Mus musculus: one gene and its partners. The protein of the gene in region 7 binds, or shares a complex with, the protein of the main gene of each other region. Links are inferred from orthologs where the notes say so. Each region holds a gene or a part of one and is shown on either strand. Other genes may lie near its edges.

Region 1 (3,500 bases), on a different chromosome or scaffold from region 7:
TTTGCCATGTGTGGGTCGCATGGACACTTGTCACTATTTACTGATTTGATCTCTGGGCTGTCTTTCACTTCTAGGCCGTCACTCAAAGGGGGTGGCAAAGACAGTAACGAAGCAGCGGGTGGAGTCGCACTTTGACCTGGAGCTCAGGGCTGCTGTGATGCACGACATTCTGGACATGATGCCTGAAGGCATCAAGCAGAACAAGGCCCGGACAATTCTGCAGCACCTCAGTGAAGCCTGGCGCTGCTGGAAGGCCAACATCCCTTGGAAGGTAGGCTCTCCTCCACCTCCAAGGAGGCCTGCCATTCATTCATCCTTCTGAGGTTAGGAGTACCACATCCTCACAGGACTGTCCACCTTCTAATACCCCTCCTTCTTGAGACAGTCTCACTGTGTTGTCCTGGCTGAGCTGGAAGTCTGCAGGCCAGGCTGGTCTCAGACTCAAGAGATCAATCTGCCTCCGCCTCCATGCTGGGGTGCAGGTGTGGAGCACTATGCTTGGGTCTTAGTACTCTTTCATTGTGTCTGTACCTGCAGGTCCCAGGACTGCCAACACCTATAGAGAATATGATTCTTCGGTACGTTAAGGCCAAGGCTGATTGGTGGACCAATACTGCCCACTACAACCGGGAACGGATCCGTCGCGGGGCTACTGTAGACAAGACTGTTTGCAAAAAGAACCTGGGCCGCCTCACTCGCCTGTATCTGAAGGCAGAGCAGGAGCGGCAGCACAATTACCTGAAGGTTGGGACAGCTAGACTGGGTGTGGGGGCTGGGTGGTGAGGTGGACTGCAGAGTGAGGATCAGGCTTTGTCCTGGTGTGGACAGTAGTGGGAGACTAACCTGACGTTCACCTTCCAGGATGGGCCTTACATCACAGCCGAGGAGGCAGTGGCCGTGTATACCACCACTGTGCACTGGCTGGAGAGCCGGAGATTCTCGCCCATCCCCTTCCCTCCACTCTCCTACAAGCATGATACCAAGCTGCTCATCTTGGCTCTGGAGCGTCTCAAGGAAGCTTATAGGTAAGGGGTGGCTGGTGGGTTCCTGTTGGGACGGTAACAGAGAGAATGGCATCGTGGTCAGAGTTCAGAGGAAGGTGTAGTTCCTTCTGGTTTAGCATCTCATTCACTTTCCTTTTGCTTTGTCAGTGTGAAGTCTAGGTTAAACCAGTCTCAGAGGGAGGAGCTGGGTCTGATTGAACAAGCCTATGACAACCCCCATGAGGCTTTGTCCCGCATCAAGCGTCACCTCCTCACACAGAGAGCCTTTAAGGAAGTGAGTAATATGTTCCCTCCGTTTTCTTTTGGTCTGTGCTCTTTATTCCTGGCAGATTATCTAGTGGGTGGCAGATTGGCTTAGGTGAATTGATGTGAACCAGGTTCCTCCTCCCACAGGTGGGCATTGAGTTTATGGATCTCTATAGCCACCTTGTACCAGTGTATGATGTGGAACCACTGGAGAAAATAACTGATGCTTACCTGGACCAGTACCTGTGGTATGAAGCAGATAAACGCCGTCTTTTCCCACCCTGGATCAAGCCTGCTGACACAGAGCCACCTCCACTGCTTGTTTACAAGTGGTGTCAAGGTACAACTTTGCTGGAGTTACTTCTGTATAAACATTCAGGCTGCATAGTCCGTTTTATTGCATAAGAGTGAGTAGTACTGCCAGATGGTGGTGGTTCTATGCGTCTTTAATCCCTGCATTCAGGAGGAAGAGGCAGGCAGATCTCTGAGTTTGAGGACCGCCTGGTCTACAGAGTGAGTTCCAGGAGAGCCAGCACTACACAGAGAGACCCTGTCTAATAAAAAGAAAGAATGAATACTACTGTTGGGATGGGTGGATGGATGGATGGATGGATGGATGGTTTTGGAATGTGTTGAGAGCTGCTGAGGTTACTAGTCCTGAAAAGAAATTTTTAATGTGCCATATCTCCGACATTTTTCTTTTGTAGGCATTAATAACCTGCAGGATGTGTGGGAGACGAGTGAGGGCGAGTGCAACGTCATGCTGGAGTCTCGGTTTGAGAAGATGTATGAGAAGATTGACCTGACCCTGCTTAACAGGCTGCTGCGACTCATTGTGGACCACAACATAGCTGACTACATGACGGCCAAGAACAACGTAGTCATCAACTATAAGGTCTGTCCTAGAGCAAGGAACAAAGGAATGTGTTGAGGGCATGTCTGACCCAGGGAGTTAGGATTTGCTGAGGGAGATTGGACCCTGAAGTGCTTGGGACACAGTCAACCCTAGTCATAGCTAAGAATTGTGGTTCTCTTTTTTCCTTTTTCCTTTCTAGGACATGAACCATACAAACTCATATGGAATCATCAGAGGCCTGCAGTTTGCCTCATTCATTGTACAGTACTATGGCTTGGTGATGGATTTGCTTGTACTGGGATTGCACCGGGCCAGTGAGATGGCTGGGCCTCCTCAGATGCCAAATGACTTTCTCAGTTTCCAGGACATAGCCACTGAGGCTGCACACCCAATCCGACTCTTCTGTAGATACATTGATCGCATCCATATTTTCTTCAGGTAATGACACACAGCTCATTTACCCAACAGGGCAGGGAGCCATGCTCTGTCTGTGCAGTGGCTCTTGTAGCTTAGTTGATTAATTGCTTTTGGGCTATAAAGTAAAATGAAGCCTAGTGGGGAATAGGGTCCCCACTGTGGAGCTAGAGTTAGTTCTCAAAGGGTCCTAGTATATTTGGAGTTCGACCGTGTACCTTGTCTTAACGTAGGTTCACAGCAGATGAGGCTCGGGATCTGATCCAGCGTTACCTGACAGAACACCCAGACCCCAACAATGAAAACATTGTTGGCTACAATAACAAGAAATGCTGGCCCCGAGATGCCCGAATGCGGCTCATGAAGCATGATGTCAACTTGTGAGTCTCAGCTGGGTTTGTGGAATCACGAGGATGTTAGTCCTCAATTAGGACTGAGGAGGTTGTGCCTTGGGGGGAAGGAATATAGGCCTGTTGGGCTATCGTCTACCTGGTCTTTGAATGTGTCTTCAACAGACTGAAGTGCCTCTGTGTTCTCTGGATAGGGGTCGGGCAGTGTTCTGGGACATCAAAAACCGGCTGCCACGATCGGTGACTACAGTACAGTGGGAGAATAGCTTTGTGTCTGTGTACAGTAAAGACAACCCCAACCTGCTATTCAACATGTGTGGCTTTGAGTGCCGCATCCTGCCTAAGTGCCGTACCAGCTATGAAGAGTTCACCCACAAGGACGGGGTCTGGAACCTACAGAATGAGGTACAGTCCAGGAAGGACATCCTTTTACGACCCCTGTAACTCTGGAGTCAATGGGTGGAGAACAGTCATAGCTTCTCATTATCATTAAGTGGGTTGGGTTTAGTCACAGTTAATCCTTGCTTGTTTAAACAGTGTCTCTGTAACACTGGCAGGCCTTGAGTTCACTTTGTAAACAAGACTGGCCCTGATTGTCTCAGATCAGCCTGCCTCTGTCTCTACCTCCCA
Region 2 (4,261 bases), on a different chromosome or scaffold from region 7:
CTAAAGCCTGCCATTGCAACCCTGTGTAGGAGGAAGACCTCTAAAGACTCACAAAAATCTAACTAAATTTACAACTGATGGAGTAAGACCATCTCTCAGACAAAAGGACTTAGTAACACACCCACATAAACAATGCTAACAGCAAGGAGACAGCATGCACAGAGGTGGATGGGTAAGGAAAGAGCTGGTTTAAGAAAGAGATATTCTAGCTTATTGGACACACTCCAAGGAAGGATGGAGACACCAACAGTCATGGTCTTTTTGTGAAGAATGGATCTGCTGGGCTACCTCAGCAAGCAAGCGAACACCCTTTAAACTTCCTGTCTCTCCTGATCTGATCCCTTGCTTGCTAACCAGCTTGTGATTAATACCTTAGCTTTCAAAAGGAAAAGAGAAAGAAAGACCGGCCCCTAACCCCCCCCAGAGCAATCCAACAAAAAACTAGAGTTTTTAGACAGTGACAGAAGATGTGCAGATGTGGAAGGAAAAATGGGAGACAAAAGCAGTCAGCTCCCTTCCTTTTGAGGGAAAAATTGCAGTCAATTTCAAAGTTTTCTGTGAACAATGAATGTGGACCGTCTCAGATCACCTATAGGTATGCCAGCAAAGCCCAGTTTCTAGTTACAAACAGCTAGGGTTTGGAAAGTGGAAGTTTATGGTTCAGTAGAGTATTGTTATGTGTTCTAAGGACACAGTCAGTGGTAGCCAGCAACTCTACAGTACATCCCATGCCCTCTCCACTTAACTTAGCTATTGCTCTTAAGTCTCAAGACTAGGGCCCTGCCAGAAAAAAATAACAAAGAAAAGAAGCAGTACTTACATTAACAAAATCTCCACCCTGAATCATGAAATCCTTTATGACCCTGAAACAGTTAAAAAAAAAATCCTGAGAAAAGATTCAGTGGATTAATCACTGAAGCTTAGAAAAGGGCGAGCAAGTACAGTCTTAACTCAGTTGATCTTAGATGCGTGAGTTCGCACCTGAACATCAGGAAGGGGCTGAAACCAGGCTAGAATCACCAACAGTCACCAAAGGAAAAAATCATGTCCAGGGCTTATTGCAATTTGGGGGAAAAGAACAACAGCAAATCTAGGTGAATGGACTACTGCACACACAGAGACTTGATGGTGTTAGCTAGTACACCAGCTATGGCCCTTCGCTTTGCTTAGCCTTCCTTGAAGAACTCGGAAAACACATACTACTTCACAAGAATGCTAGGGAGGGTTACAGACTGTAGCTTTAAAGCCCTTATGTGGGAGACATGGACATTTTCAGGATTAGAATAGAGCAACTTCTGTCAAACTCTAACAAAAAATAAGTAAATATATCATGAAAGCCAGGCTCCTACAGATGACTGCCTAGCAACGGTAACTAGCAAAGCCTCTGCTGAAGTCCTGACTGGCGCCAGGGAGATGGGTCAGTGGGTGAAGTGCTTGCTGTGGCAGCCTAAGGATCTGAGCTTAGACCTCTGGGAGCACGTGGCCACGCACCTGTACTGAACAGGTACTGAAAGGGTACAGCATGCTTTCCTTGGCATCGTTTCTGCAATACAGCATTCCACCAAGTCAGGGATGACTTAAGGCGCTGTGCATAGGCTTCATGGTGTTCAGTACCAAATCCAGGGCCTTATGAATGCTGGGCCAATTCTCTACCACCGAGCTACAGCCTCAGCCGCGAACATGCCATTTAAAACAACAGCCGTAAGCCTCACAGAGTTTGAACTCAGGTGTGCAGGACTGCCTGTACAGATACCAAGCAATGACTGCATTTCCAGTTTTCCAAAAACCTCCCTTACCTGTGGAAGGTGCTTCCTTTGTATCCTATCGGAACGCCATCTTTTCTGTAAACAAAGAAGGAAGAGACTTGGAATGGGGAAACACAATGGTGGGCCTTTCCCATTTAGGCTACACCAGAGGCTAAAAGGGCTCTCACTAAGATCTGGAGGGGGAAAAAGAGAGAGAAAGAACCCATTCAAGGTGTCACCCTCTCTCTGCATATCATCTTCCATTACTTAAGACCTGTTCATGGTTCTCCAATACCCTCACCAAACATCCAGGGCACCCCTTCAGGAGTAGGCAGAGAAATCAAACACATCTGAGACTGACCTGAACTCTCCGGTGCAGAATTGCCTAAAGGGAAAGAGAGAGCAAACGATTTAGCCTTCGTACGATCACTGCTTGAAGCACCTCTAATCTCTGGAGAGGAGAGTTCAAACACTGGGGCCAGTATGTCCGCCAACTAACTGATCGGGCGGATGTCAGGGCAGGTAGACTAGTGATAGAAGTTGATATGGGATCAGTCACAGCCGGTAGCTGTTTGGCCAGTGAAATACCCAGACCACAGAGCTGCAAGGCAATGAATAGATGGACAGAGGCAGACATGGCAAAGACCGACTGGAGGCCGGCTTCGGGCTCAGCTCTGGTTCACTTGGAGCATATCCTTACCTAAAGTTCTCTGCCGTCTTAGGCACCACGTCTGCAAAGAGCTCGATTTTCATGCGACCAACTTCCTGCAGAAGAAACGGGAGACGCAACACTCAGCTCACGACCGCTGTCCACGAAGCTCGAAAGCTCCCACCTCCCTCCGCCGCCTGGCCCAGCCGGTCTCGGGAGGGCTATAAGGGGCTGCCTCCCTTACCCGAGGCCAACCAGCCCGCACGGGCCGCTAGGTCGCCCGCACCTCACCTGGCCGCCAATGCTGACATCGAAGAAGACCACTGGATTGACTGGACTTGAATTTGCCACCGCCATGGCTTTGACCCGGAAGTAGAAACCCGGCTTCCGGTGGCAGGTCCCGCGAACTTCATCCGGAGCGCAGACGCAGTGGAAACGGACCGCGATTGCGCCCCGCCCCGGAAGTGTGGCGCGCGCTGAGGTTGTTGGGAATGGTACTGTTTGGCTGAGCTGGTCGGAGCTGAGGGGAGGAAACGCAGGCATCTTTGTCAAAGTCTGTGGGCTCCCCACTTGCATGACTGTATTAGTGCAATAGAAATGAATCTTCTGCAGACAGCATGTCCTGAGCAGTCACACTTGGTGTCCCCTGTCACAGCTCATGAGCCGAGGATCCCTGAGTCACCTTCCATATTTTAAAATGGTTTGTTACTGTAGCCTGGCTCAGTCGGGTGCTGGAAATGTAATTTTATTTATTTTCTTATGATTGTAAAATTTTTTATTTTTTAATTCACATTTACATCCCCAGTGCTGCCGCCTCTCCCGGTTTCCCCACCCCCTCCTTCTCTTCTCCTCTGAGAGGGTAGAGACCCCCTCTGGTTTTCCCTCCACCTTAGCACATCAAGTCTCTGCAGGGCTGGCCTCATCCTCTCCCACTGAGTCCAGACAAGCAGAAGAAACGAATTCCACAGCAGGGCAACAGCTTTTGGGATAGCCCCTACTCCAGTTGTTCGGGACCCACATGAAAGACCGTGTGTGTGTGGGAGGGGGCTAGGTCCCGCCTGTCTATGCTCTTTGGTTGGTGGTTCAGTCTCTGAGAGCCCCAAGGGTCATAGTTGACTCTTGGTTTTCCTGTGGAGTTCCAATCCCCTCGGAGGCCCTCAGGAGTCCTCAAGCTCCATCGGATGTTTGGCTGTGGTCTCTGCATCCCTGAGTCAGCTCCTGGGTGGAGTCTCTCAGGACAGCCATGCGAGGTTCCTGTCTGCAAGCACAACAGTCTCAGGGATTGTTGTTTGCCCATGGGATGGGTCTCTAGGCTAGTAAATCGTATGGGGCTTTGCCTATTTAAAATGCTGTTTGCCACTGCTGGTAGCAAAGACCAGGAAGTAAAGGCTGGCTTCTCTTATACCACTTTTACCAAGTACCCTTCTGCCTCTGTTTTGGAGGGCATTCAGTTGCTACCCCCCCCCCCTCTTTTCCTTCTCTCATGCTTGCTCCGGCCCAAAGATACTTATATGTAAGTACACTATACTTGTCTTCAGACACCCCAGAAGAGGGCGTGGTTGCTGGGATTTGATCTCAGGACCTTCGGAAGAGCAGTCAGTGCTCTTACCCACTGAGCCATCTCTCCAGCCCTGGTTGTTACACCCTTTAAGGTTTTTTGGTTTTTGTTTTGTTTTGTTTTTGCTTTTGGTTTTTTGAGACAGGGTTTCTCTGTATTGCCCTGGCTGTCCTGGAACTCACTCTGTAGACCAGGCTGTCCTCGAACTCAGAAATCTGCCTACCTCTGCCTCCCAAGTGCTGGGATTAAAGGCATGCACCACCACTGCCCAGCTTAAGGTCTTTTTTGAAACATTTTTTCACTTTTTTT
Region 3 (3,500 bases), on a different chromosome or scaffold from region 7:
CTTACTGTGTGGTTGTGGATGCCTAAGCTCATGTGCTATATCTCAACAGATCTCCACAGCAGCCTTATCATATGCCTGGTAGAAAAGGGTATGGTACCTGGAGTGGAGTGAAGGCCACACTGGAGGCAGTCCCTGAGGAGCGGTCACGAATTGTTGACTTCCCACCATACACCACGCTCTGTTTCTGTAAGGTCCGCTGTAGGGAAAGGGGAGGCTGGGATCCAGGCTCACTGACCTCCATATCCCACCTGCCTCCCATTCTCATGGGCCCAATCCATACCTGCAGTGTCTTGGAGATCCTGGCCTTGGTGGCCTCATTCACCTGGGTCTGCCGCACACGCCCACTGCCTGACTTGCCCAAGTGGCCCAGGCTAAAGCCCAGGTCTTCCTGATAGGCATCCTCCTCAATCTGGTGAGACGAGAGCAACCTGCGGTTAAGAAGCTGGGTACATCCAGCCAGTCCCCTGAGGCAGTCACCTGAGAACCCAATCAGCCAGTCTCATGGACACCACCTCATCAGCCAGGGGACTGGCAGCATTAAGTGACCTAATAAGAGCCTACCCTATTGGCCAGAGTCCATCATCCTTAGCAGTATGTAATTAAAGCTCGCTTCACATTTGTCTCAGAAAAGAAAAAACAAAAACAAAAACAAGAGCCTATCCTACCTCTGTTTGGGTATAGCTAGGAACCCTGGGAAGAACTGGTTCCTGACCTGAGTAGAGTAGCCATTTTTTCTCTACATCCACATTAAGTTGCCAAGAATTGGGATGAGCCGCGCTACTGAGGTGGCACCTAAGCGGATTCTTTCAGGACCACCTAGATGACAGTCAGATATAGAAGCAGCCTGGAGAGCTGCGTGGGAAGCCAGCCAGCTGAGAGCTGCAAAGATCACCATGGAGAAGGTGGTTTAAGAGGAGAGGCTAGACAAGAGGGAGGAGGGTTGGGTAGCCCCAGATCTGCTCTCAGATTACAGGGTGGGGAGGAGGGATGGCAGCAGGATGTGCAGAGAGAAGACCCTAATATGGTCCCACTGGTACTGTGGATCAAGCCTGACCTCTCCAAAGCTCATGCGGTTGGCCTGCTTCCGGATCTCCGTCAGTCCTAGCCGTTCCTTCATCTTGCGGTACCTAGGGCAAGTGGGTGTTAACAGGATATAGGGAGCTGGCTGGGAAGAAGTTGTTTCCCTTCCCCACTTCCAAACGTCTAGCCCCATCAGAACTCCTTACCTTCGGCCCCCTCGCTTCTTCCGCTGCCCATCAAGGGGTGCAGGCAGGGGCTTCACCTGCTTCACGGGTGGTGGCTCCTGCCACTTATCAAATTTGCGCTCAATCTCATCCTTTAGTTCGTAGCCCACCTAGGGGGGAGTTGAGAAGCGGTGGCCAGCCATGTAAACTGTCCCCTCAGCCAACATCTATATATCATCAACCCATCTATTGTGTATCTGACCACCTGACAGTGTGCCCTCCCCAAGACATGTTCTTCACGTTTGTCCAGGAATGGTGCTCTGTGGGTTCCAGTGCCTAGTGCTCCTTGAACTTGTAGCTCAGGTTCAGTCCTCATATCTAAGCTCTGCACCCTCTGGATAATTGTCTCTGTCTGAGTCCTGGGCCAGGCAGAATCCCTGTATTCTCTAGTCAACAGACAGCGTGTCATCTCCACTGCCTTACTTCCACACCACAGATCCCCCTGGCCTCTTAGAACAGACCCCAGCTAGCCTGCTTCTCAGTGCCTCTACAGCAGCCAGAGGCCCTCAAAGGTTGTACACATTATCTGCTCCTGGAAGCAGAAGGCTCCTCTCCCTGCTGGGGTTCACTCAACTCTGGCCTCAAGATCTTTGTACTCACTATTCACTCTGTCTGGAGCACTCTTCCAAGTGGATAGCACAAGTAGCCACACGACTGACTATAACTTCACTCAAGCCCAAATTAAAACGTCCTCAGAAGTTTTTCTTCACATTCTCTGTCATCAGAGTCTAAGCTTCCTAACCCCACAGCCCCCCTGATTGCCCCTGGCATTCACAAAGCACCACTGAACCCACTACAGACTTTTCAGAACTACTGCCTAGTTGTTTTGGTCCCAGCTAGAACATAAATGCTGTGTGACACAGCAACCTCCAATCCTAGCTAGCAGCTGGAGCAGGAGGATCAAAACTCGTTCAAGGCTTTCCTGGACTAGAGATAAGACATGTCTCACAAAAGGGTGAGGGTGAGCTGAGGATGTATAGATCTTATAGATGTATGTTCAGTGGTACAGATCAGTTGTCTAGAACACGTAGAGTCCTAGGTTCAATCCCAGTATACCCACCACACACACACAAAAGCCACTGAGGCAGACCTTTGACATCTATATAACCCCCTGCTGTACTGCCTTGTTTAGAAAGTGGCAAAAGGCAAAACCAAAGACTGAACCTCTGACCTGGGCTATGATGTAATTTCTAGCAGGGAAATGCACACAGTATTGTTTCTTAAGCCCACACAGAAAAATAGATGGTATCACTGGAATCATGTCCCTGCTAGTACAGGACAGGTCCTACTATGGTAGGCAAAATACTGTCCCTTCCAACACAGGGCTACACCTTGGTGTCAGGTGTCCTGGTCTCTAGGATCTGTGACTACATTTTACATGGCAGAGGATCTTTGCACAAAAAGCCAAAGATCTGGTATCATGGCTTCTACACCAACACCTCACCTATCTCCTGAGACAGGGTCTCTCACTGGAACTTACTGATTTGGTTGCCAGGCCCACAAGCTCCAAATGCCCTCCTGCCTTCACCTTCCCAGAGCTGGGGTTAGTTACTGATGTGAAGTACTCTGCCTGCTTTCTTTTTTCCCTTAACCTGAGTTAGGAATTGAACTCAAGTTCTCATGCTTGCATGCAGGAACTGAAGTGATGGAGCCGCATCTCCAGCCCTGGGCTTTTTTTCTTTTCAAACACAGGATTTCACTATGCAGCCCAGTCTGGCCTGAAACTTATATAACCCAGACTGCCTCAAACTAATGATCTTCCCACCTCTGTCTCTCAAGTATTGATGTTAAAGAGGCCTAGCCAACTTTTATATGAAGCTACTCCATCTATAGTGAGTTGTCATAACTGATACAGAGCTGAGAATGTGATGGCCTCAGTAGGGGTTGCAGACAGACACATCTGTCTGCTAGTCAGAAGAGGTCTCTGAAGTAGCATCTTCCCATGAAAAGACCCCAAGCACCAGGGACAGATGCCTGTCCTCTCCTCACCTTCCCTTCTGTGCTCTCATGGAAGCTGTCCACACGAGCTGCCAGTGTACACTTGGCAGCCACTAGGCGGGCCGCCTTCCGCCGGAGATCCTGGAGCAATGGCAAGGAGAAAGGAAACTGAACCTCTAGAGAAGGTAACAGCCACTACAATAGTCACTCCTCATCTAGGGCAGCCATACCCCAGACTCTGGGAGGTAAGCCTCATACCCGTGGGCTCTTCTAATAACAGCCTCTTGAGGGGTACACTCTGGCTGCCCCCCAGTTTCC
Region 4 (4,097 bases), on a different chromosome or scaffold from region 7:
CAGCTGGAGAGCTGCTGATGTAGAGGAAATAGACTCATAAGTCTTAGGCCATCCTCAGCTAGTGAGCTGGAAGCCAGACTGGGCTCCATGAGACCCTGTCTTTTAAATAAAAAAGGGGGAGGAGGGAGTGGTGCACACTGTTAACCCCTGCACTCAGGAGGCAGAGGATGGTGGATCTCTAAGGAGTTCCAAGTCAGACACAACTACACAGGAGACCTTGTCTCAAAACAAGCAAATAACAAAAGGAGAAGGGGGCTAGCACCACCTTTCCTTTAATGCTCCTAACAGGGACAACCTGGGGAAGTTCAAATCAGTGTTTGGAATCACTATACGTCAGAAGAGTGAGAGAGGTACACACCAGCCGCCTTCTTTTTGTCCATGCCCTTCCCCACACAGTTCAAGGCTGCAGTGACCACTGTGGGCTCTGAGAAGCCCAGCACTCTCTTCACCGTCTTCTCTATCCATGGCTTCAGCTCATCCAGCTCCCGCTTAGACAGCGCCATTTCGGAGAAAATGGAGAATGAGAGCTCCAATGGGACAAAAAAACTACACCTAAAAGAAACCAAGCAAGAGTCAGAGAAAAGGAAAACAAAACAATCAAGATAATAGCATAATAAGAGTGCTTTTCCCCATTCCTATTTTCAACCCCAAGCACATCTCTCCACTTCATATGAAGGGAAATACATTCCCTAAAACCAAGCTTCAAAACAGAAGGAAGGGGTCCATTAGTTTTTGTTTTTGTTTTTTTTTTTTTTTGAGATACGGTCTTACAATGTAGCTCATACAGAACTCAACACTTGGCAACTCTCCTGTCTCCACTTGCCCAGTGAGAAATTCTAGGAGCATACAACCATGCCCCACTCATTTGATATTTTAATTCTAACTCAGCATCAGTCATCATTGCTATCTAAAGAATGAACAAACTAGGAATAACGTAATCTGAGGAATGGGTTCTAACTCTGACCCTGTCACACAAAAGACTGGCAAACAGAACATCTGAAGAGTCAATCTAGAAGTCAACTTCTGCTCTGGAAGCCATTCTCTAACCTAACTTTGACCTAAAACTTGTCTAACGGATTCAAAGAAGAGGGTTTATTCAAGTCAGTCCTCCTGTGTTAAATCTCATAATCCTTAAGAATGCTGTCACCTTTCTCTGTAGTTTTATTCATGCTGGTAAGTATTCTATACACCAACATGATTTTTTTATTACTTAACACAGTTGGAGAAAAATTTCAACACTATTCATGCTTACATTTGGGTAATCTTAAATCTCAACATCTTCACCAGCATAAAGATAACTTAATTTCTGATTTTCTTCCTAATGGCTGCATGTCAATCTATTGACTGCACCGACCTCAACTTCCCATAAGACCTCCTCTTAGCACTGCCATGCATCTTAGTATGATCTGGGAATTACTCTTTCAAGATGTTTAAAGACATCTAAAAAATGCAACCTCAGAATGATCATACAAGCCTGTGATCCCAGCACAAGGGGAATCAGGAGTTCAAGTCCAGCCTTGGCTACAGAGTTCAACATCACCGGTGGCTACATGAGACCTTGTCATAAAAAAAAAAAAAAAAAAAAAAAGATGCAGTCTAATTAGCTCCTACATTCTTGACAGATTTCTCTCTCATAAGATCTGTCAATACACAGTATTTAATACATCTGAATGAATCTGGAAGGCTGTTTCTCAGTGACAACTTTTATGAATAATCCTGGGATAGCTTTTTTGGGCCATCATGAGATAGCAGTATACTGCCTATCAAAAAGAAAGCAACCACAGGCACTAAAAGTGGAGAAGAAAGCCCATTTAAGATAGAATATAGTAAGCACCACCATTCATAAGCCCTTAGGAAAGCAAGTTAATTCCCGAGAGCCTCAGTATACTTATCTTAGAAAATGAGACATCTGGTATAACACTCCATTCAATAAATACTTAAGTTACTATTTCTTGTCAAGCAGAATACTTACTGCATGTAAGGACACACACAGCAGTGAACAAAACAGCCAAGAATCCTCATGTTAATGGGACTTACAACCCACTACAATTGAATAATAGGCTAGAAAGTTTAAGCAATTTTCAAAATCCAGAGTAATAGGTGAAGCATATTAAGCATATTGGATGTAAGCTCAAGAAATATACTAACAAATGGATGTCTTCAAATTCGACCCGAATGTGCAAACGAAACAGTCAATGGATAAGAAAGTTTCAGTCAGTAGAGTTGTCACTAACCAGATGTTCAACTCTAATAGCGAGGGGGCGTCAGCGTCGGTGGGGGGCTGGGGGGTGGAGGGGAAGGGGAAGGGGAAGGGGAGGGAGGCAGAACGCTGTCTTCTGAATGAGCAGGTAGCAGAATCTCATCTTCCGAAGGGATTCCTTACTTTTCTACGCTACAAGCCCCTGGAACCCCATGCTCCGGTCTTTGCTATCTTCCCACCTGGCCCCGGCCCCACCGAGTCCGCGCTAACTCCTCACCTCAGGGCAGGTTTGCCCACCCTGCTGCTTCCCGCCCCCGCCCTTTGCCTTCAGCCAGCCCATTCTGACTTCTTCCCCGGACAGAACCAGGGAGTCCTCCCAGCCTGCTTCCCGCCGAGCACTCCCGCCCTGTCCAGCCGCTCGCACCGAAGGCTACAGCCTTTCGGGCGCGGGGCCACTACTCACCTCACAAACTTCAGCCCCTGAGACGGAGCCCGAACGTTACACCGGAACCGGAAACCTTCCGGTTGCCCTACGGCCCGCCGTCGCTACCGCCACACACCGCCACGCTGCGGTCCCTACGGCACGTGACTACGGAAGGCGGGGCCTCAGCTGCGCAGCCGCGGTATCAAGGTGCCGGCCGCGGGGCGCACGCGCCGCGGGATCCTAAAGCCTAGTCCGCGGGTTGTCCCGGAGCGATGCCAACGTTAGTTCGGGCATTATTTCCCGGAGCAGAAATCGGTTGGCATCACATTCCCTCGGGTCCAAAGAGTTAGTGCGCTAAGATTATCACTTAGAACTAAAAGCAAGGACGTCCACATTCGTACTCAAAGTGTCCTTTCTAGTTTAAAAAAAAAAAAATTGTGATCTCTAGCATTAGCTGCCCTCCCTTAACTTTGCCTCCCTAATTTAAAATCGATACCAGAGACCAGGCAACAAAAAAGAACAGATTCAGAGCTATCCCCTGGCTTCCCATTCGCCAATGAAACACCAAAACCTGCCTCACTTCCTAACCTCTAGGGATAACAGTATTCCAATTGCTAGCTCAGCCTCAGAAACCAGACTACTTTCTCGCTTGTCGCTTTCTGCCTTGCATGGCTCTTTACTAAGAAAACTACAAGATTTGCACTCCACTCTACTTCGGGTTTGTGCTCAAATTAGCCTTAGAGAAGCCTTTCTGGCCGCCCTATTTAATTTTGATACTTGACGCTCTAGAGTCCCACTTTTTTTTTCTTTTTTCTTTTTTTTTTCCTTATTGTACTTGTAGTATCATCTACCGTATTCATAAAAGTTAACTTAGGCTTTGTACTAGTCAGGGTTCTCTAGAGTCATAGAACTTATGGGTAGTCTCTGTATAGTAAGGGGATTTGTTGATGACTTACAGTCTGTAGTCCAAGTCCCAACAATGGGCAGCAGCAGCTATGAAAGGAAGTTCAAGGATCTAGCAGTTGCTCAGTCCCACAAGACAAGCAGGTGGAGAAGAGAGAGAGAATCTTCCTTCTTCCAATGTCCTTATGTAGGTCTCCAGCAGAAGGTGTGGCCCAGATGAAAGGTGTGTGCCACCAAGCCTTCAACTCAAAGATCCCCCAGTCTTAATTTTCTGGAATTTATAGCCACTATGCCTCAAGATCTCCGTGCCAAGATCCAGGTCAGAAATTGTATATCTCAGCCTCCAGATTAGGATCACAGGTGAGCCTTCCAATTCTGAATTGTAGTTCATTCCAAATATAGTCAAGTAGATAACCAGGAATAGCCACCACACGCTTAGTGCTTATACTTACAGTAACACTCATACAATTAAGTACTTAATAAATACTTGTCTACCATGGCAAGTTCCCCACTACACATCCCCCAAATAAAATGTAAAACTTTTTTTTTTTTTTTTTTTTTTTTTTTAAG
Region 5 (3,500 bases), on a different chromosome or scaffold from region 7:
TCAGGGATCTGACAACTTCTTCTGGCCTTCATCGGCACCAGACACACATGTTGTACACAAATGTACATGCAGGCAAAACACACCTATACATGTAAAATAAAAACCAAAACTAAAACAAACAAACAAACAAAAAAAACCCAGTCAAAATAGTGTTAGGAACAACAATCCTCAACATGCCTGAATTCTTTATATTTACCGTTTACTTCTAAAACTATAAACTGTTTATTTCAGAAATAAAACACAGGTGAGGGACATGGGAGCAGTTTATTGTAAAATACAAAGCAGCAATGTTTTCTGCAAGTGAGCTTTCATGAAAGACCGGATATCCTCATCAACACCAAGCACGAACAGGACAGCCATGAAGACACTAAAATCGCTTTCTCTTGATAATTTCTGGTTTCCAGCTGACTGGGTGAGTTTCTTCTGTCTAAAATCAGAACAGTAAACAAAGTGTGATTTTATTAGTTTGTTTCCTTTCAATGAAAAGATCTGTCTCTGCTAAATCATAGTACTTGCTTGGCAGGACGTGCTGAGTGGCTCTTGAAAAATTTTAGAAACAGCTGACAAACTTCTGGCATTATCCAAGTTTGACCAGGGATACATGGGTTCGGTTGGATTTCCATTTAGCTATTACAGCAACCCCAGCGCTCTACCTCTACCCTCCTTCCCTCAGCAGTCTCCTGTTTGCCACGATTAATGTATCATTTCCTTCCCAGGAACTGTACTGAGGCAGAACTGTACTTAAAACGTAATGCTTTATCACTGATGTGTCTGCATCAATGAAACCACACAGAAGCCCTGAGCAGGTCAGATCACTATCCAGAGGATGAAACTGATGGTACTATAGTGAGTCTGTTTCTTTTTGTACTCAAATGAGCAGTCCTTGTCAAATTGACATGCAATTCTTTTACTTTAAAATGCATGTGAAAGCTGGGTGTGCTGGCTCATGCCCAAAATCCCAGCATCGGAGAAGCAGAGGCAGGAAGACAGTTTCAAGTTTAAAATCAACTTGAGCTACAAAGTGAGTTCCAGGCCAGCCAGAGGTACCATGTGATACCTTGTCTCTAAATATAAAATATAAAATTAAATTAAACTAAAAAGGAAGGAAGATAGGAAGACAGACAGACAGACAGAGATGGACACTAAGAACTTACCGCAGTCTCATCCTCTCTGTAAACTTTAATGGTTTTATCAGCTTCAGCCGTTAGTAACCGACTTTCTGACCGATCGAAAGCACAAGCAAATATTCCTGACTCACTGTCCAAAGACCCAGGCTGTACAGCTGCATGGACGCGCTGAAAATTATAGCCAGTTCTCCAGTCCCAAAGGTGCATGGTGCCATTGTCAGCTGCAAGGGAAACACACAGCTCTACTTCTATCCCCTCAACAGCTCAGATGACCCAGGAGCTGAACATTACACCAGCAACACACACACACACACACACACACACACACACACACACACACACTCACACACACACACTATCTCTTTCCCTCCCTCCCTCCCTCTCTCTCTAATTCCCTCTAAGTCTCTAATTTATAGACACCATAACATTTAAAATCCAACCAAACATCAGGCAGTTCCTAGCGTAAATCCCTACCTTCATCACATGGGAATGCAAAGATGTCTAAACTATGCAACATGCTGCATGGAACACCACTGAGCACGACGGCAGGCACATTACAAACAGGCACATACACCCTAGTAGGTGTGTCACTACAACAGTGTGATGCTTTAGATACTAACTCACTCACATCAACAGAAGGGCACACTCAACACACCATAGAAACCTTGTGTTACCTCCAGACACAAGCACTCCATCAGCATTGACCGCCAGCGTGTTAATGATTGCATTGTGACCAGAGAGATTTTGAATGAAGCCTCCATCGGGGAATTTCCACTGCTTTATGTTATCTGGAGAACCAGACGCAAATGTGTAACTAGAACAAAGATTGACAGGAATTAATGGGAAAGTACACTGTATCAAAGAAAACTCGCAGCTTTGAAAAAGCTCTGTGTGCTCACTGCTCCAGACAGCCTCAGTAAAATGTAACTTCACCACAGTACAAACTCATCACTATCCTCGCTCCAAGTTCCACCAGCCTTGTCCAGCTGCTGAGATGTACTACTTTAGATCCCAGAGCAGTGTTTTGTTTTCTTTAGTGTGTTACACACTAATTAGCCCAACAAATGTGCACACACACAGGGCAAAAAAAATCTTGAAAGGGAAGGAAAGAGAGGGATGACAAGAGAAAAGGAAGGAAAGGAAGGGAAGGGGACAAGAAAGGGAAGGCGCAGGGAGCAGTGGGGGAGGGTTGGGGGATGTGTGTGGGATGAGCTGAGTCAGGAGTGGCCTGCCTTCTCTGGGAACCGCAGTGCTGATGTCTCTCCCTCCATTTCCTGCACACTTACTTCTCCCTTAGGAATCTAACTCTGCTCTGTCTCTGACAGGACACCATATGTGAAACAATCTGGACAGGTCAAAGTGGGTCCAGTACCCTGTATGTCCAGACACGACTCCCGCCTACTCTGACATTCAGCTTTAACCACAACTTGGCCTTATTTGTCACTCTGTAGAGGGGCTATGGCCTTCATTCCACAGAGCACGAGGCAACAGCAGCAGATGGGAACTGAAAGGCCGTCCTAAGCAGCACAGGCAGAGGTACAGCAGGCCCCCCTGGCCTCAGCGTCACTGAGACGCGGAGAAAGGCAAGCTATCAGCACAGCACACTTACAGTAGCGGATGTAAGACCACAGCCCTCACTGATTTCTTATGGTTCGTCAGTGTCACTCGTGTCTTTCCAGCCACTAGATCCCATAATCGTATTGTGGTATCGTGACTTCCTGTAGTGAAAAGACAGAGACCGGACAGAATCCACAAGTTAAAACCCATTAAACACAATGTACTTGTCTGTGTGTGTGTGTATGTGTGTGTGTGTGTGTGTGTACACTAAATGAAAGTCCTATCACTGTGAATCATTTCCTCAAAATCCTAAAACTGTAGTTATTCTATATTTAGTTCTTTTTAACTTTTTGCCAGAGGCGGTAGAGAGTGGCTAAGTATAAAGAGCAAATAAAAACAAATATGTAATTTTAAACTCCAATGGCAGGGAAGGGGAAAAAATGAATCTTTTTATTTTAAAATCTGTAGTTAGCAAAACAAACCAACTGAAAGAATGACTTTCCAGTCACAGTTAAGATCCAATGTCATTCAAGTAAGATTCATACTAGAATGATAGGTTACAATGCCTAACCTTTTTATGTAATGATACATAAAAAACACAAGATAAAAATATAAACAAACAAACAAAAAACCCTAGAAAACACCTTGCAATCCTAAATTTCAAATGCCCATGATTAAAATCCAAAGAGAAACTAGAACGCGAGTCGGTCGGAGGTGGAGGTGCTTGCGGCGGCTGCAGAATGGCCGGCCGTGCCTCTGGTACGGCTCAGGGGGAGCAGCAGATCGTACCTGTAATGATCTGTGGCTCTGCAGCCT
Region 6 (4,131 bases), on a different chromosome or scaffold from region 7:
AGAGCAAAGTCTGGAACTGGAGCTCACAGGATCATATGACACCCTGGGCTGCTGTCGTCCTCTGAGGACTGAGGCACACAGGCAAGAGGAAAGAAAAGCAGGATCATAAACTAAGCCAAACCACCAGCAGACAGCACAGTACTCGGTACTCACCCAATGGCTACTAGATTTTCGTGATGAGGTGAACACGTCAGACAGAATATGGTCCTGGGCTCTGTGAAGAGGTGCTGGCTGTCATTTCTGTTAAGCCAGTAACAGAAAACGACTCCTTTTTCATCCCCAGAGACTATTAAGTCCTTAACTGTCGGAGACCAATGCAGTGCTGATATTGTATGCTTCAAACAAAGCAAAGCCAGATGAGTCTCATTTGTGAGTGTTGGGCTGTAAACCAGCCTAATGCTACCCACATTACAGGTACTTAAGAAATATGCTATAACTACCTGTATAGCAATATAGTAAGTCTAAAGTTAAAACTTTTTGTGTGGTTTTGAGACCGTCTTACTTTGTAATTTTGGCCTGGAACTCAAGGCAATCCTTCTGCCTGTCTCCTGAGTACAAGAATTCTAGAATTGCAGCCATGCACCACCATGCCTGGGGATACTGACATGGACGTGCACAGACACACTTTTTACTCATGTGTGCAAAGCCACATGTGTGTCTATGCAGGCCAGAAGAGGTGAACGGATTCCCTGGAGCTGGTTATGAGCCAACCCACAAGGGTGATGGGAACCCGACTTGGGTTCTCTGGGACAGTAGGAGGCACTCTTAATGGATGAACCATCTCTCCAGCCCCTATATTTTCTATTTATTGTGTTGGGGAGAGCATGTGCCACAGCCGAGCATGTGGAAGGCAGAAGACTCTGTGGAGCCAGTTCTCTCTTACTTTCATGGAGATTAAACTGCTCAAGGGGCTGGAGAGACCGCTCAGTGGTTAACAACACTTGCTGCTTTTGCAGAGCTTTGGTTCCTAGCACCCACATGGTGACCAACAATCACCAGAAACTTCAGTTTTCATGTACTTCTTACCACCATAGACACCAGGCCTATAGGCGAAATACACATACACAATTCAAGTAAAGAAAACAAAATAAAACAAAGTATCAAAACTCAGGTCATCAGGCTTCCAGGACAGGCCCTTGAACCTGGAAAGCCTTCTCATCAGTTATCAGTCCGGGTATATATTTTATATGGACCTATTGGCTCTGTTAGACTTTGTAGGCCATGCTCTCAGTGGCTGTTCCTCAATTCTATTGTTATATCATCAAAGCAGCTACAGATAAGAGTTAGTGACTAAGCCGGGCGTGGTGGCACACGCCTTTAATCCCAGCACTTGGGAGGCAGAGGCAGGCGGATTTCTGAGTTCAAGGCCAGCCTGGTCTACAGAGTGAGTTCCAGGACAGCCAGGGCTACACAGAGAAACCCTGTCTCGGAAAAAAAAAAAAAAAAAAAAAAAAAAAAGAGTTAGTGACTAGGGGCTGGAGAATAGCTCAGTGGCTACTTATCAAGAGGTCCCAGGTTTGATTCCCAGAGCTCTCACGGTAGTTTTAAACGGTCTATAACGGGATCTGAATGTCCCCCTTTGGTGTGCAGGCATACATTGGAAAAACTGACACCCCCCCCCTTCTCTCTCTCTCTATATATATACATATATATATATAAAAAAGAGAATGACTATCTATCTTTTTGCCTCCACTTCCCAAGTGCTATGATTACAGGTGTGCACCACCATGTTCATTTATGCAGTTCTGGGGACTGAGCCCAGGGCTTTGAGTGTGCTAGCCAGGCACTCTACCTAGCCAAGTTACAGCTGCTACCAGAAACTCTACTTTCTAAACAAAACATGCATCTTTAAAAAAAAGTTATTTGAGAGACTTTCCAACATATCTAAGTAGCCAACAAAAATGAGTAGCATTCCTCCATATGCATGAGATCTATTAAAACAATCTGAGGCCTCAGGATGCACAATTACCTGATGGAGTGTGTGTTCTGTCACTACAGTCTTGGTCTCTACATCCCAAACCTTCACAGTTCCATCGTCTGAGCTGGTGGCACAGAGGTTGTATTGTCCAGGGTGATGAGAAAAAGTGAAACCAGATACTCTTTCAGTGTGTCCCACCAACTCTCCTACCACTGCAAGCAAAACCAGACTTGGTTAACTAAAGCACTATCCAGACAGTTAGCCTGCATGTTGCTGGACAAACAACAAGCAGATAAACAGAAGTCACTTAACACACATGGAACAGAAACATCCACAGACGAAAGACAGAAACGCTGGGTGTCATCACCACTCATCTTACAGACATCACCGTCAAGTAATTGCCCAGCGGGATCAGAGAAGGGAGAACAGCCCCCACCCCAGGGGGCGTACTAGGGGCCGGCAGGGCCTTGGCCAAGCAGGAAGGCCAGGAGCACCCTAAACGCCGGGTCTAGGCTGGGTCAGTCCCTCCAAGCGAGAGAGGCCACGTGCGCGCGCCGCCGGACCCGGCGACTTACAGAACTCCCCCAAGAGGACGGCAGGAAGGACTGCGCCGACCCGTGAGGGGCTCACCTCGAAACGGGGGCGCCCCTGGGCTCGCGCCCGCACCCGGACCCACGCGGACGAGGAAGACGGAGGTCCGCGCAGCGAAGCCAAAGATGCCTCCGGGCGCCGCGTCGCTGCAGCGTGAGCAGTACCAGTTGGGGGACGGCGGCAGCGTCCGCGGCTCCGGCTTCATCTCCGCGGCCGCCCAAGCTCAGCAGAGGAGCTCTGGGACGGTGGTTCGCAACCGCGGCGTGGAGCGGGAGGGGGCGGGATCGATTTAAACCCCGCCCCTGGAGGCGGGCGCTACGGAGCGCGTTGAGGCCCAACCCGCGCCTCTCGCTCCCGTGCGCCGCCTGGAACTAAATTCCAGGTCCTGAGGTTACATATTTTCCTTAATTAAGGATTTAGACCTGTGGAACCCGCCAACCAGCCACTGAGCACACACGCACACGCACACGCACACGCACACACACACACACACACACACGCTAAATAAATAATAAAGGCCAACACACACACACATACACACACACACACACACACACACACACACACACACGCGCTAAATAAATAATAAAGGCCAACATGATGTGAAATACCCTGTTTCTACCAACCTCAAGGTTGACTAAGAGATGAGCTAATGCGTTTGTGTGCATTTACCGCCATATATACCTGTATTTAACTAAAGCTCCTTATTTTGTCCAATCCAGCAAGGCAAGTATTATTAAGCGAGAAACATCTGGGACAGATTGGACAAGGCAGTTCAGTATCCCAATTAAGTTTTTTTTTTTTTGGGGGGGGGGGGTTCGAGACAGGGTTTCTCTGTATAGCCCTGGCTATCCTGGAACTCACTCTGTAGACCAGGCTGGCCTCGAACTCAGAAATCCGCCTGCCTTTGCCTCCCGAGTGCTGGGATTAAAGGCGTGCGCCACCATGCCTGGCAAGTTTTTGTTTGTTTGTTTGTTTGTTTGTTTTTAAATGCTACATAGCGGCGTACTTTTCCAGTTTTTGGGAGGTGTTTTAAAGACAGATGCAAGAGTGTATTTAGCTGAAATACTAAAAGAATGAATCTGAGCTCTGGCTCAGCACTCAGGCAGGAGGATTGCCATGTGCTCCAGGCTAGGCAGCCTGGGCTATAGTATGAGAGCCTGTCAAAATAAATGAAATGAGTCAGGAATCAGAAAGGACAGGAAGAGACTCTGTAGTTGGGTGGGAATTCTGATTCCTGATACTGGGGTATTCAAAGATTAAAGAGCAGAGGTTTGACATCCCGCCTCCTGCTTAATGGAGTGCCTATGCTGTGAGAACTAGTTAGTGGTGTGGAGGGAAAAAAGAATTGAACTCTGCTTACAACTCAAACCCAAGCAACTTGTTCAGATTCGACTGTACTTCTGTACTGCTGTTAGCCCTTCCTGAATGTGGCATATGGAAACTTGCAATGGCTATCATTAATAGAGAGCCCTTACCTATGCTAGCATAGCCTAAGGGCACTAAATTCAGGGTTACCAGACTCCACATTGATCACTAGTTTTGCCAGGAGCACACAAACGCATTAGCTCGTCTCTTAGTCTTTATTATTTATTTAGTGTGTGTGTGTGTGCTCATATTTC
Region 7 (3,950 bases):
ATTATTTTGAGTAGAAAGTATTAAAATTACCCCTGAGTCACCCTGGTTGGCTTTCCAGCATAAAACAGACAAAATCATTCGAGAGTTGTGTGAACCTTTCTGCCCAGACCTTGGACTAAGAATGTACCTGGCTCTGATTAGCTTAAAATAGACAAGGTATAATCTTATTTGGCTGAAATCTCTTTTTAGGGGGAAGGGAAGGTTCGAGATAGAGTTTGTGGCCCAAACTTGGACCACCATGCCTAGCTATGAAATAACGTTTCCCCTGTTTTATAACCCACATTACAAGGACCTCTGCTTTTCTTAATGTCCAGGCCCATTGTTCTGTTATAAGTCACCCTTAAGCTGCACACTGCAATTCTGGACTTGCCTGCCTCTTTCTTTGGTCTCATTGATCCTTGGGACCAGTTCCCATACATGGGGACAGGGGTGTTTGTTGACAAAATCACGTTCCATGTAAGCAGTTTTGGAGAGCGCAGAAAGCAGTTGTATTTCCTTGCTTTTAGACACGATATTCTCTCTAGAGCCATAAATAATAAATTATAGAATCAAATGATAATAAACTAATATCATCCAAATTCTTTCAAAATTATTTGCACTATGTTTGTAATTAGAGACAAATGTATATGTTGAGTAACTACATTTAACAGTGTGGTTATTGCAAATAAGGTGTTGAATTTTTTGTTTTAACTTTAACTGAAATATCCACATACATTTTTTTAAGTCGAAGGACTTGCTATATATAAAATTTATTTAAAACTCTGTCCTGAGAGTGGTTTTTCTAGTTTTAAGAAGGTACCCTGCATCCCCAAAGGAAAACCATTCTGTCCAAAGATTTGATTGGCTTAGCTTAATGTCAAGCCAAGTAAGGACATCTTGCAGGACCGAGTTCCCTGCTTCCAACATGTGAATCCCAAGTATTAAACTCGAATCTTAGTGGGCTTCTTTCAGAACTTCTCTTCCTTTAACATGTGAAAGTTCCAGGCCTTCACAAGTAGTTTTAATAACTTCGTAACTGGTCTAAAAAAACCTGCAGAAGATGTCGTCCACCAGCCCTCCCGCCCTCCGAAGGTGCAAAGCACTCCTCCCGTCGCTAGGGGCCGCTGTCGCCCTCCCGGTGGCCGGAAGGCAGCGCAGCTTCCGCGTTCTCGTCGCGCGTCCGCAGGCCTCCGCGCGCTTTTCCGGCCATTCATAACCCCAGTCCGTGGATCTCTGGAGCCTGAATTCTGTGAACAGTCGGGCCAGAAGGGAGAACTGCGTCGCTAGGATGAAGCTCGTGAGGTGAGGAGGGTACCCCCGCCGGGCGAGGACGACGGGTAGAGGATTTGGGGTCGGCTCGGGAGGCCGGGCCGCTGTGCTCCCAGGGAGGCGGGAAAGCCGCGTGCGCGCGGCCTGCTAACGGCCTCAGGCCCCCGGGCCCCGCCGCGCCCTGCCCGCCGCCCAGAGCCCGGGCGAGGGGCCAGCGCGCAGACCCCGCCGGTCTTCCAGGAATGGAGGGGCCGAGCCGCCTCTGCCCACCCAGTATCCGGCAGCTTAAACGGAGCAGTGGCCCGTTTTCTTGGCGAATCGGACCATTTGCACTGAGGAGGACTTAGTAGACCTAGCATGGTTTTATCTGCAAATGATGACGCCGATTTGCAAGACGTTTTAGACTAAGATCTCCTTAAATTTGACCAGTTATACGAAGTATGTAAGTGGTTAGTGTAGGCTTCTAACTCAGGAAAGACAAAATGTCCTAGGATGGGGCAGAAGGTAATAAATTAATTTCGCCTGCATAGTTAATATCGGAAGTGGAGCCTAACTAGAGGCATGCTGGTTTAATTCAAATGAACAGGCTTGGGTCAAGCCTGAGGCAGGTTATACAATATCAAGCAAATAACTAGAAATATTTAGTTTCTTGTTGAGTCAAGACTGTTGTAGTTGGCCAGAATGGCATTGAACACCTTCTGAAGTAGTTGTACATAATTCACAAGAATTCTTTTAAAACATTTTTGAAGTTTTTTTAACGGTGACTCATAGCCTGCTTGAAATTGGAAAAAAAAAAATTACTTCAGGAGGAATTTGAGGGAGAAGGCATTTAAGGTTAAAAAAATTTTCCCCTGTTCTGGGGATGGCACGCAGAGAGCTTCTAATAGTCACTTAACCTTGAGCTCAGCCCCAGTTCATTTGTATTTGGACTGTAACCTAGGTAGAATGCTAAGACTTGCCGTTTCTTTACTCCCTGATATGAACTATAATGTATTTACAGTAACATGTTCATCTCATTTAAAGGTTCTATTATGATAACTTTGCCAGCATCCTAGGCAGGTGCTCACTCTCCTGCTGCTGCTGCTTTGATTTGTCTTGGACCCTATTTTGTATAGCGCAAAGTATAGAGATTTCTAATTACAGGAGAATTTTTTTTAAAGATGTATTTATTTTATGTATGTGAGTACACTGTAGCAGTACAGATGTAGCAGTTGGGGCCTTCATGTGGTTGTTGGGAATTGAATTTTGGACCTCTTCTCGCTCTGGCCCAAAGATTGATTTATTATTATAAATAAGTACACTGTAGCTGACTTCAGAGGGTGTCAGATCTCATTACTGGTGGTTTTGTGAGCCACTATGTGATTGCTGGGATTTGAACTCAGGACCTTTGGAAGAACAGTCAGTGTTCTTACCTTGCTGAGCCATCTCGCCAGCCCCCAAGGGAGAATGTTTTTTGCCCTGTGAAAATGGTTGACTGGTTTGCACTTTTGGTGTGGGCTTTCTTATTTGTGCATGAGTTTTGTATTGGACTGTATTGCCTGTATTTATCCCGTTGCCACCTTGCCCAAACTTAGGAAGTGTGCTTAGCTACCTTTCTCTTAATCCTCCTGGCGTCTGGTAAGTTGCCAGGTTTCTTAATTTTTCTAACTGGAGATACTTCTCACTATCCAGTTCTCTTTGGTTTTCTATTCAAATAGGAAAAATTTGGGTACTAAAAGGACCCCATACACTTTACTGTTTGATGTGCCAGTCTCATTAAGAAAAGAATTCACAGCTAGGTGATGGTGGCCCATGCCTTGAATCCTCACACTTTCTCTGCGTTCAAGGCCAGCATGCTGTACAGCGGGAGTTCTAGGACAGCCAGGGCTACACAGAAAACAAAAGTAAGAAGAGAATTCACAAAATGAAGGACTCACTGGAAAATAATTTGAATTTATGTGTTCCTTGGCCTCTTTTTACTTTTATATTGAGACAGGGTCTCACAAGTTGTGCTGCCTGACTTGAAATCACTCTATCTCAGCTGACATTAGATTGAGAATCATCCTGCCTCTGCCTCCTGAGTGCTGGGATTAGAGGCCTTCACTGCCACCAACCAGCATCTCTAGATAGCATAAGGGAATTTTTGTTTCGTTTTGTTTTGTTTTTCGAGACAGGGTTTCTCTGTGTAGCCCTGGCTGTCCTGGAACTCACTCTGTAGACCAGGCTGGCCTCCAACTCAGAAATCCACCTGCCTCTGCCTCCCAAGTGCTGGGATTAAAGGCATGACCACTGCCTTGCTCATAAGGGAATTCTTCAGCAGAATATTTTCTTCACAAAAGGACCCTGTTCTCCCCACCTCCTCCTTTCTGAGTGCTGGAATTAAGTCTTTGCCACCGTGCCTGGCAAAATACTGTTTGTAATGTAGTAGTTTAAGGTTGCTGAAACGTTCAGCCTGTACTTGGTGTGTGTTACTATAGAAAAGTCGTGCTACTTACTTTCTCATGGGAGAATGGAATAGGTAATATCACTCGTGTAGTTTACTGTAGTGGATGTTATAGGAGTGCACAATGGATATTGTAGAAAAATAAGTAGACTGGAAAATCTGAATATGAAGTGTTATTAGATGATATTGTAGATTATCATTCCATTGCCATTTGGCTAAAATAAAGCATGAGTGATAATGTAGAATTCCTGGTGGGTTACATTCCTGAATATTAATAGAG

Evidence for each region.
Region 1: Snrpd1 (region 7) and Prpf8 share a complex: the UniProt entries of both Homo sapiens proteins name them as parts of the U4/U6-U5 tri-snRNP complex. The link is inferred for Mus musculus from reciprocal best matches to the Homo sapiens genes SNRPD1 and PRPF8.
Region 2: Snrpd1 (region 7) and Ppih share a complex: the UniProt entries of both Homo sapiens proteins name them as parts of the U4/U6-U5 tri-snRNP complex. The link is inferred for Mus musculus from reciprocal best matches to the Homo sapiens genes SNRPD1 and PPIH.
Region 3: Snrpd1 (region 7) and Prpf31 share a complex: the UniProt entries of both Homo sapiens proteins name them as parts of the U4/U6-U5 tri-snRNP complex. The link is inferred for Mus musculus from reciprocal best matches to the Homo sapiens genes SNRPD1 and PRPF31.
Region 4: Snrpd1 (region 7) and Prpf3 share a complex: the UniProt entries of both Homo sapiens proteins name them as parts of the U4/U6-U5 tri-snRNP complex. The link is inferred for Mus musculus from reciprocal best matches to the Homo sapiens genes SNRPD1 and PRPF3.
Region 5: Snrpd1 (region 7) and Plrg1 share a complex: the UniProt entries of both Homo sapiens proteins name them as parts of the minor spliceosome. The link is inferred for Mus musculus from reciprocal best matches to the Homo sapiens genes SNRPD1 and PLRG1.
Region 6: Snrpd1 (region 7) and Gemin5 share a complex: the UniProt entries of both Homo sapiens proteins name them as parts of the SMN-Sm complex. The link is inferred for Mus musculus from reciprocal best matches to the Homo sapiens genes SNRPD1 and GEMIN5.

Annotation. Positions count from the first base shown.
Region 1 is NC_000077.6:75,493,277-75,496,776, forward strand, and holds part of Prpf8 (pre-mRNA-processing-splicing factor 8), read left to right. Parts: intron 1-74; coding exon 75-271; intron 272-537; coding exon 538-744; intron 745-861; coding exon 862-1,025; intron 1,026-1,151; coding exon 1,152-1,278; intron 1,279-1,397; coding exon 1,398-1,590; intron 1,591-1,957; coding exon 1,958-2,145; intron 2,146-2,305; coding exon 2,306-2,544; intron 2,545-2,753; coding exon 2,754-2,900; intron 2,901-3,064; coding exon 3,065-3,275; intron 3,276-3,500. UniProt on the Homo sapiens protein: Plays a role in pre-mRNA splicing as core component of precatalytic, catalytic and postcatalytic spliceosomal complexes, both of the predominant U2-type spliceosome and the minor U12-type spliceosome.
Region 2 is NC_000070.6:119,317,724-119,321,984, forward strand, and holds the start of Ppih (peptidyl-prolyl cis-trans isomerase H), read right to left. Parts: upstream 2,801-4,261; 5' UTR 2,752-2,800; coding exon 2,686-2,751; intron 2,511-2,685; coding exon 2,446-2,510; intron 2,131-2,445; coding exon 2,107-2,130; intron 1,842-2,106; coding exon 1,797-1,841; intron 864-1,796; coding exon 821-863; intron 1-820. UniProt on the Homo sapiens protein: PPIase that catalyzes the cis-trans isomerization of proline imidic peptide bonds in oligopeptides and may therefore assist protein folding. Participates in pre-mRNA splicing.
Region 3 is NC_000073.6:3,636,485-3,639,984, reverse strand, and holds part of Prpf31 (U4/U6 small nuclear ribonucleoprotein Prp31), read right to left. Parts: exon of another isoform or gene 3,324-3,500; coding exon 3,234-3,323; exon of another isoform or gene 1,355-3,233; coding exon 1,227-1,354; exon of another isoform or gene 1,128-1,226; coding exon 1,055-1,127; exon of another isoform or gene 410-1,054; coding exon 281-409; exon of another isoform or gene 197-280; coding exon 98-196; exon of another isoform or gene 50-97; intron 1-49. UniProt on the Homo sapiens protein: Involved in pre-mRNA splicing as component of the spliceosome. Required for the assembly of the U4/U5/U6 tri-snRNP complex, one of the building blocks of the spliceosome.
Region 4 is NC_000069.6:95,853,086-95,857,182, forward strand, and holds the start of Prpf3 (U4/U6 small nuclear ribonucleoprotein Prp3), read right to left. Parts: upstream 2,801-4,097; 5' UTR 2,664-2,800; exon of another isoform or gene 2,235-2,663; intron 553-2,234; 5' UTR 504-552; coding exon 359-503; intron 1-358. UniProt on the Homo sapiens protein: Plays a role in pre-mRNA splicing as component of the U4/U6-U5 tri-snRNP complex that is involved in spliceosome assembly, and as component of the precatalytic spliceosome (spliceosome B complex).
Region 5 is NC_000069.6:83,069,038-83,072,537, reverse strand, and holds the end of Plrg1 (pleiotropic regulator 1), read right to left. Parts: coding exon 3,474-3,500; intron 2,846-3,473; coding exon 2,737-2,845; intron 1,942-2,736; coding exon 1,802-1,941; intron 1,349-1,801; coding exon 1,155-1,348; intron 428-1,154; coding exon 368-427; 3' UTR 247-367; downstream 1-246. UniProt on the Homo sapiens protein: Involved in pre-mRNA splicing as component of the spliceosome. Component of the PRP19-CDC5L complex that forms an integral part of the spliceosome and is required for activating pre-mRNA splicing.
Region 6 is NC_000077.6:58,165,740-58,169,870, forward strand, and holds the start of Gemin5 (gem-associated protein 5), read right to left. Parts: upstream 2,801-4,131; 5' UTR 2,715-2,800; coding exon 2,549-2,714; intron 2,131-2,548; coding exon 1,970-2,130; intron 336-1,969; coding exon 154-335; intron 1-153. UniProt on the Homo sapiens protein: The SMN complex catalyzes the assembly of small nuclear ribonucleoproteins (snRNPs), the building blocks of the spliceosome, and thereby plays an important role in the splicing of cellular pre-mRNAs.
Region 7 is NC_000084.6:10,616,646-10,620,595, forward strand, and holds the start of Snrpd1 (small nuclear ribonucleoprotein Sm D1), read left to right. Parts: upstream 1-1,150; 5' UTR 1,151-1,267; coding exon 1,268-1,281; intron 1,282-3,950. UniProt on the Homo sapiens protein: Plays a role in pre-mRNA splicing as a core component of the spliceosomal U1, U2, U4 and U5 small nuclear ribonucleoproteins (snRNPs), the building blocks of the spliceosome.